3 linked regions of the Oryctolagus cuniculus genome follow. The protein of the gene in region 1 purifies or fractionates together with the protein of each later gene. This does not show direct contact. Links are inferred from orthologs where the notes say so. Each region holds a gene or a part of one and is shown in the gene's direction. Other genes may lie near its edges.

Region 1 (4,126 bases):
CAGAACAAAGGAAGTGTCCAAGGGTTTGGGCAGAGGAGGTTGGCTTCATGGAGTTGAAAACAAAACAGAAAGAACAAAATGTGAATTGGTAACCCACTTTCCTTGGAGGGCGGGGACAGGGAGACTGAATAAGGTAAAAAATGATGGATTCATCAGCACCAGATGACTTCAGGTCACTGTTTGTAAGGATTAAAGCAGAGAGCTTATCAGAACCGTCATTATGCCTGCTTAGGGAACTTGCCCTGTTTAGGGACCACACTGGGTTGTTTAGGGAACATAGCTGTTATCTCGGTTTAGTAACTGCTTGAAAGATCAGATAACAATTCAGTTTGGGTTTGGCAACATGAACAGCCTCATCGTAAGGGCTTCCATCTGACCTGGTCCGTCAGGGTGCAGAGCAGAAGCCTCTGTGGTCTTCATGTTAAATATACCCTTTTCAGTAAAAATATAAAATCAGGAAGAAAAGAAACATACCCTGGTTATCACTTCCTCTATTTACAGCCGAAGAAACAGAGGCGTAGAGTCCGTACCGTGGACCACCTGTGTGGAGCTGGCATTTGGGCACAGTTTGACTGTCGAGTCCACGCTCTTGCCCCCTCCGCCATTAATTCTTCTCCCCAAGCCTGTGCTCACGCTGTTGCCCCTTCTAGAATACTCCATTCTCCTTCTTCTCTGACAATGCCCACCTGCGGAAGTCCAGCGCAGAAGTCTTCGCTGACCACACCTGTCCGTCCTACACCTTTGTCTGCTTCCCTACGTGAATCTCGAGAATATCCCATTTTACTGATCCCCACGAAGAACCAGACACTATCCGAACTGCAAGGGACCTAGAAGGACGAAGGGGCGGTGAAGCCGGCAACTTGTCTAAGACCACCGAGCAAACTGTGGTAGGAGTAGGGCCTTCAATTTCTTGGACAGTGTTCCTCTCCCTGTGCTTTCTTCACCAGGTCGGCCAGCAGTGTCTCTCAAAGGGCAGCCCAGAAAACACCTGCCTCAGAATTACGTGAGGCACTTTCAGACTTTCTAAGGCAGACCCGAGAAATCTACATGAGATTCGAAAGACTGCATTCCAATAGCTCAGTACAGAACGACTAGCCCTTTAAGTTCCCATTGCACTATGGGAAGTGTAGTTTCGGATCGCCTCTCCGCTGCTTGCCCCGCCCCTGAAGGCTTCACGGAAGAAGCCGAGTGAATCCGGAGACAGCCGATTGTCCCGGGGCGGGCTCTTTCCTGTGCCGTTGCATTCTGGGAAAGGGCAGTTTCCGTTAGGTGCTGAAGGCTGAGGCGCGCGACCGGCCACACTCCCACGTGAAACGCTACGCGGGCATCGCTCCGCGGGGTAGCTCCCTGCTTACCGCGGAGCGTCCGGAAGCAGCGGGGGAACCGGAAGTAGCCCGCAGAGGCGCCGAAGGTAGACCCGGAGCCCTGAGTAAGGCGCCTCAGAGCGCTGCGTCGGCGCCATGTCCCTGATCTGCTCTAGTGAGTACTGGCCGCTGGCGATCTCAGGTCGCAGGAGGCGGGAGAGAGGAGAGGGCTAGTGTGCAGGCCGCTGCGGCGCCGGGGTCGGGCGGAGGCGGGAACGGGCCGCCTGTCAGCACGGGGTGCTCTGCCCCTTACGGCGGCGTGTATTTGGCGCAGTGTTGGCGCAGTTTACTTATCACCTCAGGTTTATTGTCGCAGGGGTCACTTGGGCCCACTGGGCAGGCCTGGGCAGAGGAGCTGGTGCAGGGGAAGCCGCCGTGGTGTAGGAGCCAGGAAACCTGAGGATTTGTCCAGCAGCAGCCTTCGATCGGCCTTGCGATGTGGCGCGAGACGCTGGGCCTCAGTTTCCCCGTCTGCGAGACTGAGAGCATTGCGTTGGGTCTCGTCGGAGGTCTCGCACGGATAGTTGGAGCCTCTGCAGTTTGCGAAGGTCACGCAGGGAGCGAGAGGCCGACGGGGCTGGAAGCCAGGTGTCCGGCTCCCAGCCGCGCGCTGTGCATGACTGATAAAAAGAGCACACACATTGGTTTACAGCACGCTTCCAAGCCCACGATCTCGTTTTGTCCTCGCAGGAATTCCCTGCGGGAGGCGTACAAATGGGACTGTAGGGCTCGGGAGGAGTGGGGCTCCTGTGGAGGGGCACAGCCAGTGCCCGCGAGAGCTGGTTGATGGGGCCAGACTGACAGCGGACCGATTATTGTCTGGTGCAGACGACTAGGCCCAGGCAGTCATAGTGAACAGTGTCGCAGAGCTGCCTTGAAGAGATTAAGTGACCTCCTCTGCCCGGAGACCTTCGGCCTCTCCCGACGTGAGCCAGTCTCCCCTGAGTGATGAGATTCCAGAGGACGCATCCGTGATCCATGTATTTCTCTTGGAGAGCCTGTGTTGGGATAGATAAGGAATTCAGCGATACCTCCATTGCCACCACGCTTGGGTTGGGGGTGCAGAGAGAGAGGGGGCAAGAGACACTGAGCCTCAGCCTGCTTCTGGTTAGTCCAAAGTGTTGCCCATGCCGGACTGCCACACCTGGAGGTGCCCCCTCCTGAGCCCCGGCCCGAGCCTGCACTCATCCACCCGATTTGTTGGGTGCTGCAGGGCGTCTGCGTTGGACTGAAGTACCAGACGGGCTGTGCTCACTGCCCTTCAGGGGGGCACTGTCTCCCAGGGCAAGAATGTGTATGAGAACTGCTTGGAGGTTGTTGGGGGGACAGGTGCACCTGTGTGAAGTGCTTAGCATCCTGGCCGGCACGGAGTGAGCACCGTGTAAATGGTTCTGGTACCCTGGTGTCTGTCATGCTGCTGTGTAGTCCCTGTGTCTCCTGATCCAGTTAGGGTTGTGACTGAGGTGGATGGCAGCTGCCTGAATGGCTTCACACGCTCTCCAGGGTGTGGAGAGTAACTCTCTGGTGTGGGTCCCCAACTACCTGTTGAAAATGAGATGGCAGGGCTTATTGACTGCATTCTGGGTGCCCAGTGCATAGGAGCTGTGTAGTAGTTAATTTTTGACCACCCAGGCTTTCGAGAGACCAATGGAGAAGCCACATAGGTAGCTGGAGAACATTTAGGGGCTAGCCTAAAGCTGCCTTGGCATCATGTGCTTCCCCTGAGTTGAGTGGATGTGGGGACTTGTTGGGCTGGTGGCAGTTAGGAATCCCCTCGGCCCCAGATTGTCTTTCATCCCAAGCCTACTGCCTGCCTTTCTCTGCAGTCTCCAATGAAGTGCCAGAACACCCGTGCGTGTCCCCCGTCTCTAATCACGTCTACGAGCGGCGGCTCATAGAGAAGTACATTGCTGAGAATGGTACAGACCCCATTAACAACCAGCCTCTCTCCGAGGAGCAGCTCATCGACATCAAAGGTACCCGTTGGTCGGCCTCAGTGTGGGCCTCTTGGCTCAGAACCTGAGGTTGGGGTAGGGGGGTTGCCTGGGTTACAGGTTTTCACACCTGACTTTCCTCTCTTGGCAGTTGCCCACCCAATCCGGCCCAAGCCCCCCTCAGCCACCAGCATCCCAGCCATCCTGAAAGCCTTGCAGGATGAGTGGGTAAGTTCCTGGGAGAAAGCTGATGTCTCCCCCACTCAGAGAGAGTATATCCCTGGACTAGGACGTGGGGTGGGGGAAGGCAGCACAGGGGGAGCTTGGTGGTGAAGTCACACAACCTGGATCCCACGCTTCTCTCTCTCGCTCATGAGCAGTGTGACTGGATTTATTGCTCTGAGCCCTGATTTTCCTGACTGTATCACATAGATTGGTGCCTGGCTTAGAGTTTCTGAGGCGTAGAATAAAACTAGAGTGTCCACTTAGTGACATCAGGGGAGTACTTTTTTTCATCAGTGTTTTGCCAGCACCGAGAGCAGTGTCTGGGACATGGTAGGTACTCGGTAAATCCCAGCGAGTGAAGGAATGCGTGCGTGCATCTTGGGATGGGCACGTTGTCTCACACGATGAAGGTGGTCAATCCACAGCAGTAGCATTATCTCCTTTAGAGAGACAACAGTGTGACGTCCATGACTGACCAGTAAATTAAAGAGTATGGTGATGGGAAAGAGCTGGCTGCCACTCGTGTGTGTGTGCCCAGCACTTGGCAGAGGGCAGGAGCCCAGGAGTGCTGCCAGCACATTCAGGGTCACTATTGGTGTTGTA
Region 2 (3,602 bases), on another chromosome or scaffold:
AGTTCTGTAGAAGTTTGTCACTGACCTGTGTTCCTGAACAGTGAAACATGATATTACATGCCTGAGGAATAGTTTCTTTTGATAAATAATTGACAAATATGGAGGGGGAAGGGAGACTGAGAATTTCAAAAAGAAGTTTTGAATATTGATGATGGTAATGGCTACTTATGAAATATTCATTGTGGACCAGTAGGCAGGTTCTGGATCATTCATGTTATCTCCCTTATTTTTTAAAGATTTATTTATTTGATAGTCAGAGTTACACAGAAGGAGAAGCAGAGAGAGAAAGAGAGGTCTTCCATCCGCTGGTTCACTCCCCAAATGACCACAACGGCAGGAGCTGGGCCGATCCGAAGCCAGGAGCTTCTTCCAGGTCTCCCACATGGGTGCAGGGGCCCAAGGACTTGGGCCGTCTTCCACTGCTTTCCCAGGCCATAGCAGAGAGCTGGATTGGAAGTGGAGCAGCCCAGACTCAAAAACATCACCCATATGGGATGCCGGCACTGCAGGTGGCAGTTTTACCCACTATGCCACAGCGCCAGTCCCTCTTATAATAATATGAACTGCGAATATTATCCTATTTTAGAAATGGGGAAACAGAGCCTTAGGGAGGTTGGGCAGCTCACTGTAGATCATCCACTATGATGTGGGGAACCCTGTTTGTGTAACTCCATAGCGTACATTCAGTCCCCCTCCATGTAAATACACCTGTTGCAGTTATAAACCACTGGGTAAGCAGAAATCAGAGGAAGAGCTCAAAGACAAGAACCAGCTCTTAGAGGCCGTCAACAAGCAGTTGCACCAGAAGTTGACAGAAACTCAGGTGAGAAGCCCACCACACCTCTGTCACTAGCTGCCACTGGGCACTGCGTGTGCGGTCTTGAGGGATGGCGCTCTGGGGAGGAGCAGGCTTGCAGTGCCTGACTGCCTGACCGCACAGAGAGAAGCAGCCAGGCTCGTGCTGGCGCTGTCCAGGAGCAAGGGGGAGGAAGGCTGTCTACTCGTGGAGTCTGGGAGGGTTCCCGACTGACTGTGCGCCACCACCACAGGGAGAGCTGAAGGACCTGACCCAGAAGGTAGAGCTTCTAGAGAAGTTTCAGGACAACTGTTTGGCAATTTTGGAGAGCAAGGGCCTTAACCCAGGTAAGAGAACACACACAGCTGCCTTCAAAGAGAACAGCACAGGTCCACCTTCCTGAGCTGACTAGCAGTGTGGCATCAGCTGGTCCAGGCAGGGCAAAGGTTGCATGACAAAGCACTAAAGTGCTTTGAGAGCTTCTGTTTGTTTCCATACAGTGTTCATTTGGCCTGCCCGACAGAATTTCAAATGACTGAAGACAGAAACATCTTTCTTTCTCTTCTTTCTTTTCTTTATTTGAAAGGCAGAGTTACGGGGGTTGGCGGGGGGGGGGGGGGGGGCGGGTTGGAGAGTCAGAGAGATAAGGTCTTCCATCTGCCAGTTCATTCCCCAAATGGCCACAATGGCTAGAGCTGACCATGAAGAAGCCAGGAGTTTCTTCCAGGTCTCCCACGTGGGTGCAGGGGCCCAAGGACTTGGGTCTTCTTCTACTACTGTCTCAGGCACATCATCAAGAAGCTGGATTGGAAGTGGACCAGCCAGGATTGAACCTGCACCCATATGGAATAGGTGCTGTGCCAAGTGCTGGCCCCTATCTCTTTCTTATCTAAACTCTTTATGCCATTCATTTGGTGCCAACAGGTTTAAAGTTGCAAACAGACCAGAAATATTTTGCTCCTTTCATGGGAGATAACAGCATGCTGGTGACTCCTTGATGGCAAGAGGTAAAGGAGAATACTTTTGCAAGGGGTCCTGAACCTAGCTAGTCACAGAATCCAGCAGATTCTGTGGTTGACATGGGACTCAAGTTCTGACCCTGTCCCTGGACAGCAGAGTTTAGCAAAGAAGAGACCGGAAAAAGGAGTTGCCCAAAGAGTGCAAGAGGAGCCACAGAATGGCCAGAAAAGGGCTGAGGCCTCGTGGAATTGAAGAATGCCAAGTCTGAGGCGAATGTTGAGCCCAACAGTTAAGATGCCTGCTGTAGGCCGGCGCCGCGGCTCACTAGGCTAATCCTCCGCCTAGCGGCGCCGGCACACCGGGTTCTAGTCCCGGTCGGGGAGCCGGATTCTGTCCCGGTTGCCCCTCTTCCAGGCCAGCCCTCTGCTGTGGCCAGGGAGTGCAGTGGAGGATGGCCCAGGTGCTTGGGCCCTGCACCCCATGGGAGACCAGGAAAAGCACCTGGATCCTGGCTCCTGCCATCGGATCAGCGCGGTGCGCCGGCCGCAGCGCGCCGGCCGCGGCGGCCATTGGAGGGTGAACCAACGGCAAAAGGAAGACCTTTCTCTCTGTCTCTCTCTCTCTCACTGTCCACTCTGCCTGTCAAAAAAAAAAAAAAAAAAAAAAAAAAAAAAAAAAAAAGAAAAAAAAGATGCCTGCTGTGGCCCAGGCTTCTGACTCCAGCTTCCTGCTAATGCAGACCCTGGGAAACAACAGTGATGGCTCATGTAGTTGGGTTCCTGTCACCTCATGGGAGACATGGAATGATTAGACCAATGATGGGAGCTCTGTCTGTCTCACTCTTTCTGCTTCTCAAATAAATGTATTTTTTTAATTTATAATAAAAAATGCTGACTGTGATTAACCTGTGGGTTACAGGTTTAGGATATTCTTTGCAGTAACTGTAAACATTTTGATGATTTAAGTTAACTGTGTGCACACACTGTTAACGAAAAACAACAATTTTTTAAGGCTTGAAAGGCTTTTAAAAACAGTTTTGTAGGGTAAGGGTTTAGCCCAGCAGTTAAGACACCTGTATCCCACATCGGAATGCCCAGGTTTGCTTAAGTAATTGGGTTCTTGCCAGTCACATGGGAGACCTGGATTGCTCCGGCCCAGCCCAGCCCATCTCTAGCCATCGCGGGCATTTCTGGAGCTCTGTCTGTGTGTTTCTCTGTCTCATTGCAAATAAATAGATCATAATATTTTTTAAAGGTAGTTTTTATACTGTAAACAAAAAACTACATTTTCTTTGTACAGATTTTCAGCTGGGATAAGGAGAGTAGAGTGATTTTTTTGGCATACTGAAATCTAGAGACACGGGGGAAGTGCAGCAGCTGTGAATGGCGTGGGTGACCCTACCAGGGTGAGAACGCGGGAGAGAACGTCTAGGACTGGACACTTAATTTCCCTCATGAATAAAAGCCCTTCTGTCCCTGGTGGGGCCTCTGCTTTCTTTTGTTTAAAGTAAGTGTGCTAAATGAGGCTGACTGTCATACCCATTGGTTTTAGGCGGTGAGACCCTGGTGCCACAGCAGACCCCCGCCACGGATCACACAGACTCTATGGTGAGGGTTGGGTGTGAATGGGTCAGGCCGAGGGATTCTGGGCCTCTGGGAGTCTCAAAGTCTCCCCCATGTGCACAGCAATCCTCAGAAGTAATCTTTGATTGTCCCCGATAGGAGAGAACGACCAGACATGTACTCAATATAGCATATTTTACTTTAGAGGTAGCTTTGTGCTTACCAGTGTGAGTGAGTCTAAACTGAAAATGTGCTACTGTGAAACCTAACAGGGTGGACCTGTA
Region 3 (3,602 bases), on another chromosome or scaffold:
CTCTGAGATCTCCAAGGAATCCTCAGGAGTAAAGAAGCGACGAATACCCCGCTTTGAGGAGGTGGAAGAAGAGCCGGAGGTGATCCCTGGGCCTCCATCAGAGAGCCCTGGCATGCTGACCAAGCTCCAGGTGGGTAACTAGGGCCTAGAGCAAAGTGAGTTTGTAAGTTGAAGAAGCAAAAGTTGCATGGGTTCCTATTTACTGTGATCTTGTTTCAAATTAGTGATTATCACTTGGGGGATTTTTATTTGCTGCTTTATGTTTTAGCATTCCTTGGTTTAACCAGGAATATTCTAGTTAAGGGTTATTGAAATTGCCTACTGTGTGGCAAACAAGATATGTGGCATATATCTACCTCATTTTGTCATTGAGAAAACTAAGTTCTCAAAACTCAGGTTAGGCCGGCGCCGTGGCTCACTAGGCTAATCCTCCGCCTTGCGGCGCCGGCACACCGGGTTCTAGTCCTGGTCGGGGCGCCGGATTCTGTCCCGGTTGCCCCTCTTCCAGGCCAGCTCTCTGCTGTGGCCCGTGAAGGCAGTGGAGGATGGTCCAGGTGCTTGGGCCCTGCACCCCATGGGAGACCAGGAGAAGCACCTGGCTCCTGGCTTCAGATCAGCATGGTGCGCCAGCCACAGCAGCCATTGGAGGGTGAACCAACGGCAAAAAGGAAGACCTTTTTCTCTCTGTCTCTCTCACTGTCCACTCTGCCTGTCAAAAAAAAAAAAAAAAAAAAAGGTTGATGGTAGAGAAGAATTTCCAACTATAACTCAAAGAAGGTATTAATCTGTAAGTAATGTCAAATTGAGTTTGTATTTCTTCAGCAAGAAGTACCTGTTTTTTAAATAGGCACTGTTGAACAATTTTGATACTACATAAGCAATAAATATTTCTTGTACCATTTAAAATTTTGAGGGAGGCCAGTGTTGTAAAGCTGTTGCCCAGAAGGGGCACTGCTTCATGTCCCAGCTGTGCCACTTCTGATCCAGCTCCCTGCTAATGGCCTGGGAAAAGTAGCAGAAGATAGCCCAAGTGCTTGGGCCCTTGCCACTTACGCGGGAGACCTGAACAAAGGTCCTGGCTCCCGGCTTTGGACTTGCTCAGCCCTGGCCATTGCAGCCACTTGGGGAGTGAAACAGTGGATAGAAGACCTGTCTCTGTCTCTCCCTCTCTCTCTGTGTAACTCTTTCAAAAAAAATGTAATAAAATTTTGAGGGAGGGAATAGAATACACAGATACACACGGATGGATAGATTTGTATTCATGTGTGATATTTCTGGAAAAAGTGAAATTGATGATGTGTTTTATGGAGAATGGGGATGGGAGGATTCACAATATACCCTTTTGTAACTTCGAATTTTAAACAGTGAATTGTCTTCAGAAAGTTCATTGAAACTTCGTATTATGAAAAAAAAATCTTGAGCATGGATTTCAAAAGTGTTTTTGCACCTAAACAAACTTACCTTTTAATTCCATTTTCTTTTTAAGATTTTATTTATTTGAGAGGTAGAGTTATAGACGGAGAGAGGGAGAGACAGAGAGAAAAGTCTTCCATACACTGGTTCACTCCCCAAATGGCCACAATGGCCAGAGCTGCGCTGATCCGGAGCCAGGAGTTTCTTCCAGGTCTCCCACATGGGTGCAGGGGCTCAAGCACTTGGTCCATCTTCTATTGCTTTCCCAGGCCACAGCGGAGAGCTGGATCAGAAGAGGAGCAGTGGGACTTGAATCAGCACCCATATGGGATGCCAGCACTGCAGGTGGAGGCTTTACCTACTATGCCACACATTGCTGGCCCCTTAATTCCATTTTCTACTAACTTCTTGAAGCCACCTCATATATAAGTATATCACCTAATAAAAAAAGTTAAAAACAAAATTTAAAAAAGACCTTGAAGTACCTTGAGAGTAGGTTTTTAGAAAATGTGAAAAGAGTTATTAGCCCATACCCTCAAAGTTTATCATTCTGAACTTCTTTAGGACAGAAGAAGGGGTTTATTGAGACACTGAGGGACAGCTCTTTGCACCATCATCTGTGTTCCAGGAGCCTGGAATTCCATCCAGGTCTCCCACATGGATGGCAGGGACCCAAGCACTTGGGCCATCTTCTACTGCTTTCCCAGGCACATTAGCAGGGAGTTGACTCAGAAGCAGAGTAGCTGGGACTCCAGCTGTTTTTCCAGCACTGAGGTATAGGATGCTGGCATTGCAGATGACAGCTTAACCTGCTGTGCTGCAACAGTGGCCTTGCAGAGTCTTTTTTTTTTTTTTTTTTTTTTAATTTGAAAGGCAGAGTAACAGAGAGAAAAGAAAAGACAGCTTTAATCTGCTGGTTCAATCCCCAAATAGCTGCAACAGCCGGGGCTGGGCCAGGCCAAAGCCAGGAACCAAGAGCTTCTTCCCGGTTTCTCACATGGGTGCAAGGGTCCAAGCACTTGGGCCATCCTCCACTGCTCTCCCAGGCACATAAGCAGGGAGCTAGATTGGAAGTAGAGCCGGTGAGTGCCCATATGGGATGTTGTGCTGCAGGCAGCAGCTTAACTCACTGTGCCACAGGGCCAGCACCTCCCTCTCTCCCCTCCCTCATGCAGAGTCTTAATCACAAAGCTATATTACTACCTAACATGCCAGTCTTGCCTTAGGAAAATGGGTTGAACATCTATAATGCTCAGCTATTTAAGATTATCTTTACTAAATTTTCTAATCTGTGATGCAGGCAAAATAGGGTGGAGTCACTCAGAAAGTTTTAAGTTTCTAGATTTGAAAGCTTTATGGGCTTTGGAGCCTGCTTGGGAGAAATTAATGTTTTTTTAATTCTTTTTCCCCTGGAGAACAGATCAAACAGATGATGGAGGCAGCGACAAGACAAATCGAAGAAAGAAAAAAACAGCTGAGCTTTATTAGCCCCCCTACACCTCAGGTACTGTGCCCTGATTAAGAAGAAGAATCTTTAACACAGAGTTTCTTGCCAGTTCAGAAGGAGCTCACGTTTCACTCCGTGGTCATCTACCCCAGTCTGCCACCCATGATGTGTGTTGTGTGTAACTGTCTGCTTGTCTCAGTCCCTCTGATTGCTTTTTCTCTGTCTCACAGCCAAAGACTCCTTCTTCCTCCCAACCAGAGCGACTTCCAATTGGCAACACTATTCAGCCCTCCCAGGCTGCCACTTTCATGAATGATGCCATTGAGAAGGCAAGGAAAGCAGCTGAACTACAAGCTCGAATCCAAGCCCAGCTGGCACTTAAGCCAGGTCTCATTGGCAATGCTAACATGGTGGGCCTGGCTAATCTCCATGCCATGGGCATTGCTCCCCCGTGAGTATCTCCTGGAATCCTTTTCATTCTAAAGCCGGAGAAGTAATAAATACCTTGGAGTGTTACTGATCCTCTTATTCCAAAGAATCTAAATCCTATTTATAATGTCCTTTTTCTTATATATGAATGATAAGTATCAGTTGAACTTCTTCTCTTGTTTTCCTTATATAATTGAAAGAACTGAGATTAAGATTATTCATCTAGTATTGGAGGTAGGAGTAGAACTGGGTCTCTTGGTTTCTCAGTTTTATCTATTAAGCGACACTGAGTGATACCATGACTTCTGATTAA

Evidence for each region. Proteins that work in one complex are often made in the same cells at the same time.
Region 2: the proteins of PRPF19 (region 1) and KNSTRN purify together in Homo sapiens (affinity purification with mass spectrometry; 4 studies listed by BioGRID and IntAct, counting the BioPlex papers as one, with this or other methods). This does not show direct contact. The link is inferred for Oryctolagus cuniculus from reciprocal best matches to the Homo sapiens genes PRPF19 and KNSTRN.
Region 3: the proteins of PRPF19 (region 1) and PRPF3 fractionate together in Homo sapiens (co-fractionation; 3 studies listed by BioGRID, with this or other methods). This does not show direct contact. The link is inferred for Oryctolagus cuniculus from reciprocal best matches to the Homo sapiens genes PRPF19 and PRPF3.

What each region holds. Positions count from the first base shown.
Region 1 is NC_091432.1:11,685,820-11,689,945, forward strand, and holds the start of PRPF19 (pre-mRNA-processing factor 19), read left to right. Parts: upstream 1-1,237; 5' UTR 1,238-1,460; coding exon 1,461-1,479; intron 1,480-3,190; coding exon 3,191-3,340; intron 3,341-3,449; coding exon 3,450-3,526; intron 3,527-4,126. UniProt on the Homo sapiens protein: Ubiquitin-protein ligase which is a core component of several complexes mainly involved pre-mRNA splicing and DNA repair. Required for pre-mRNA splicing as component of the spliceosome.
Region 2 is NC_091443.1:63,572,873-63,576,474, forward strand, and holds part of KNSTRN (small kinetochore-associated protein), read left to right. Parts: intron 1-717; coding exon 718-823; intron 824-1,049; coding exon 1,050-1,143; intron 1,144-1,720; coding exon of another isoform or gene 1,721-1,794; exon of another isoform or gene 1,795-1,856; intron 1,857-3,055; exon of another isoform or gene 3,056-3,161; intron 3,162-3,307; coding exon 3,308-3,363; intron 3,364-3,602. UniProt on the Homo sapiens protein: Essential component of the mitotic spindle required for faithful chromosome segregation and progression into anaphase.
Region 3 is NC_091438.1:47,647,356-47,650,957, reverse strand, and holds part of PRPF3 (U4/U6 small nuclear ribonucleoprotein Prp3), read left to right. Parts: coding exon 1-130; intron 131-2,833; coding exon 2,834-2,917; intron 2,918-3,090; coding exon 3,091-3,311; intron 3,312-3,602. UniProt on the Homo sapiens protein: Plays a role in pre-mRNA splicing as component of the U4/U6-U5 tri-snRNP complex that is involved in spliceosome assembly, and as component of the precatalytic spliceosome (spliceosome B complex).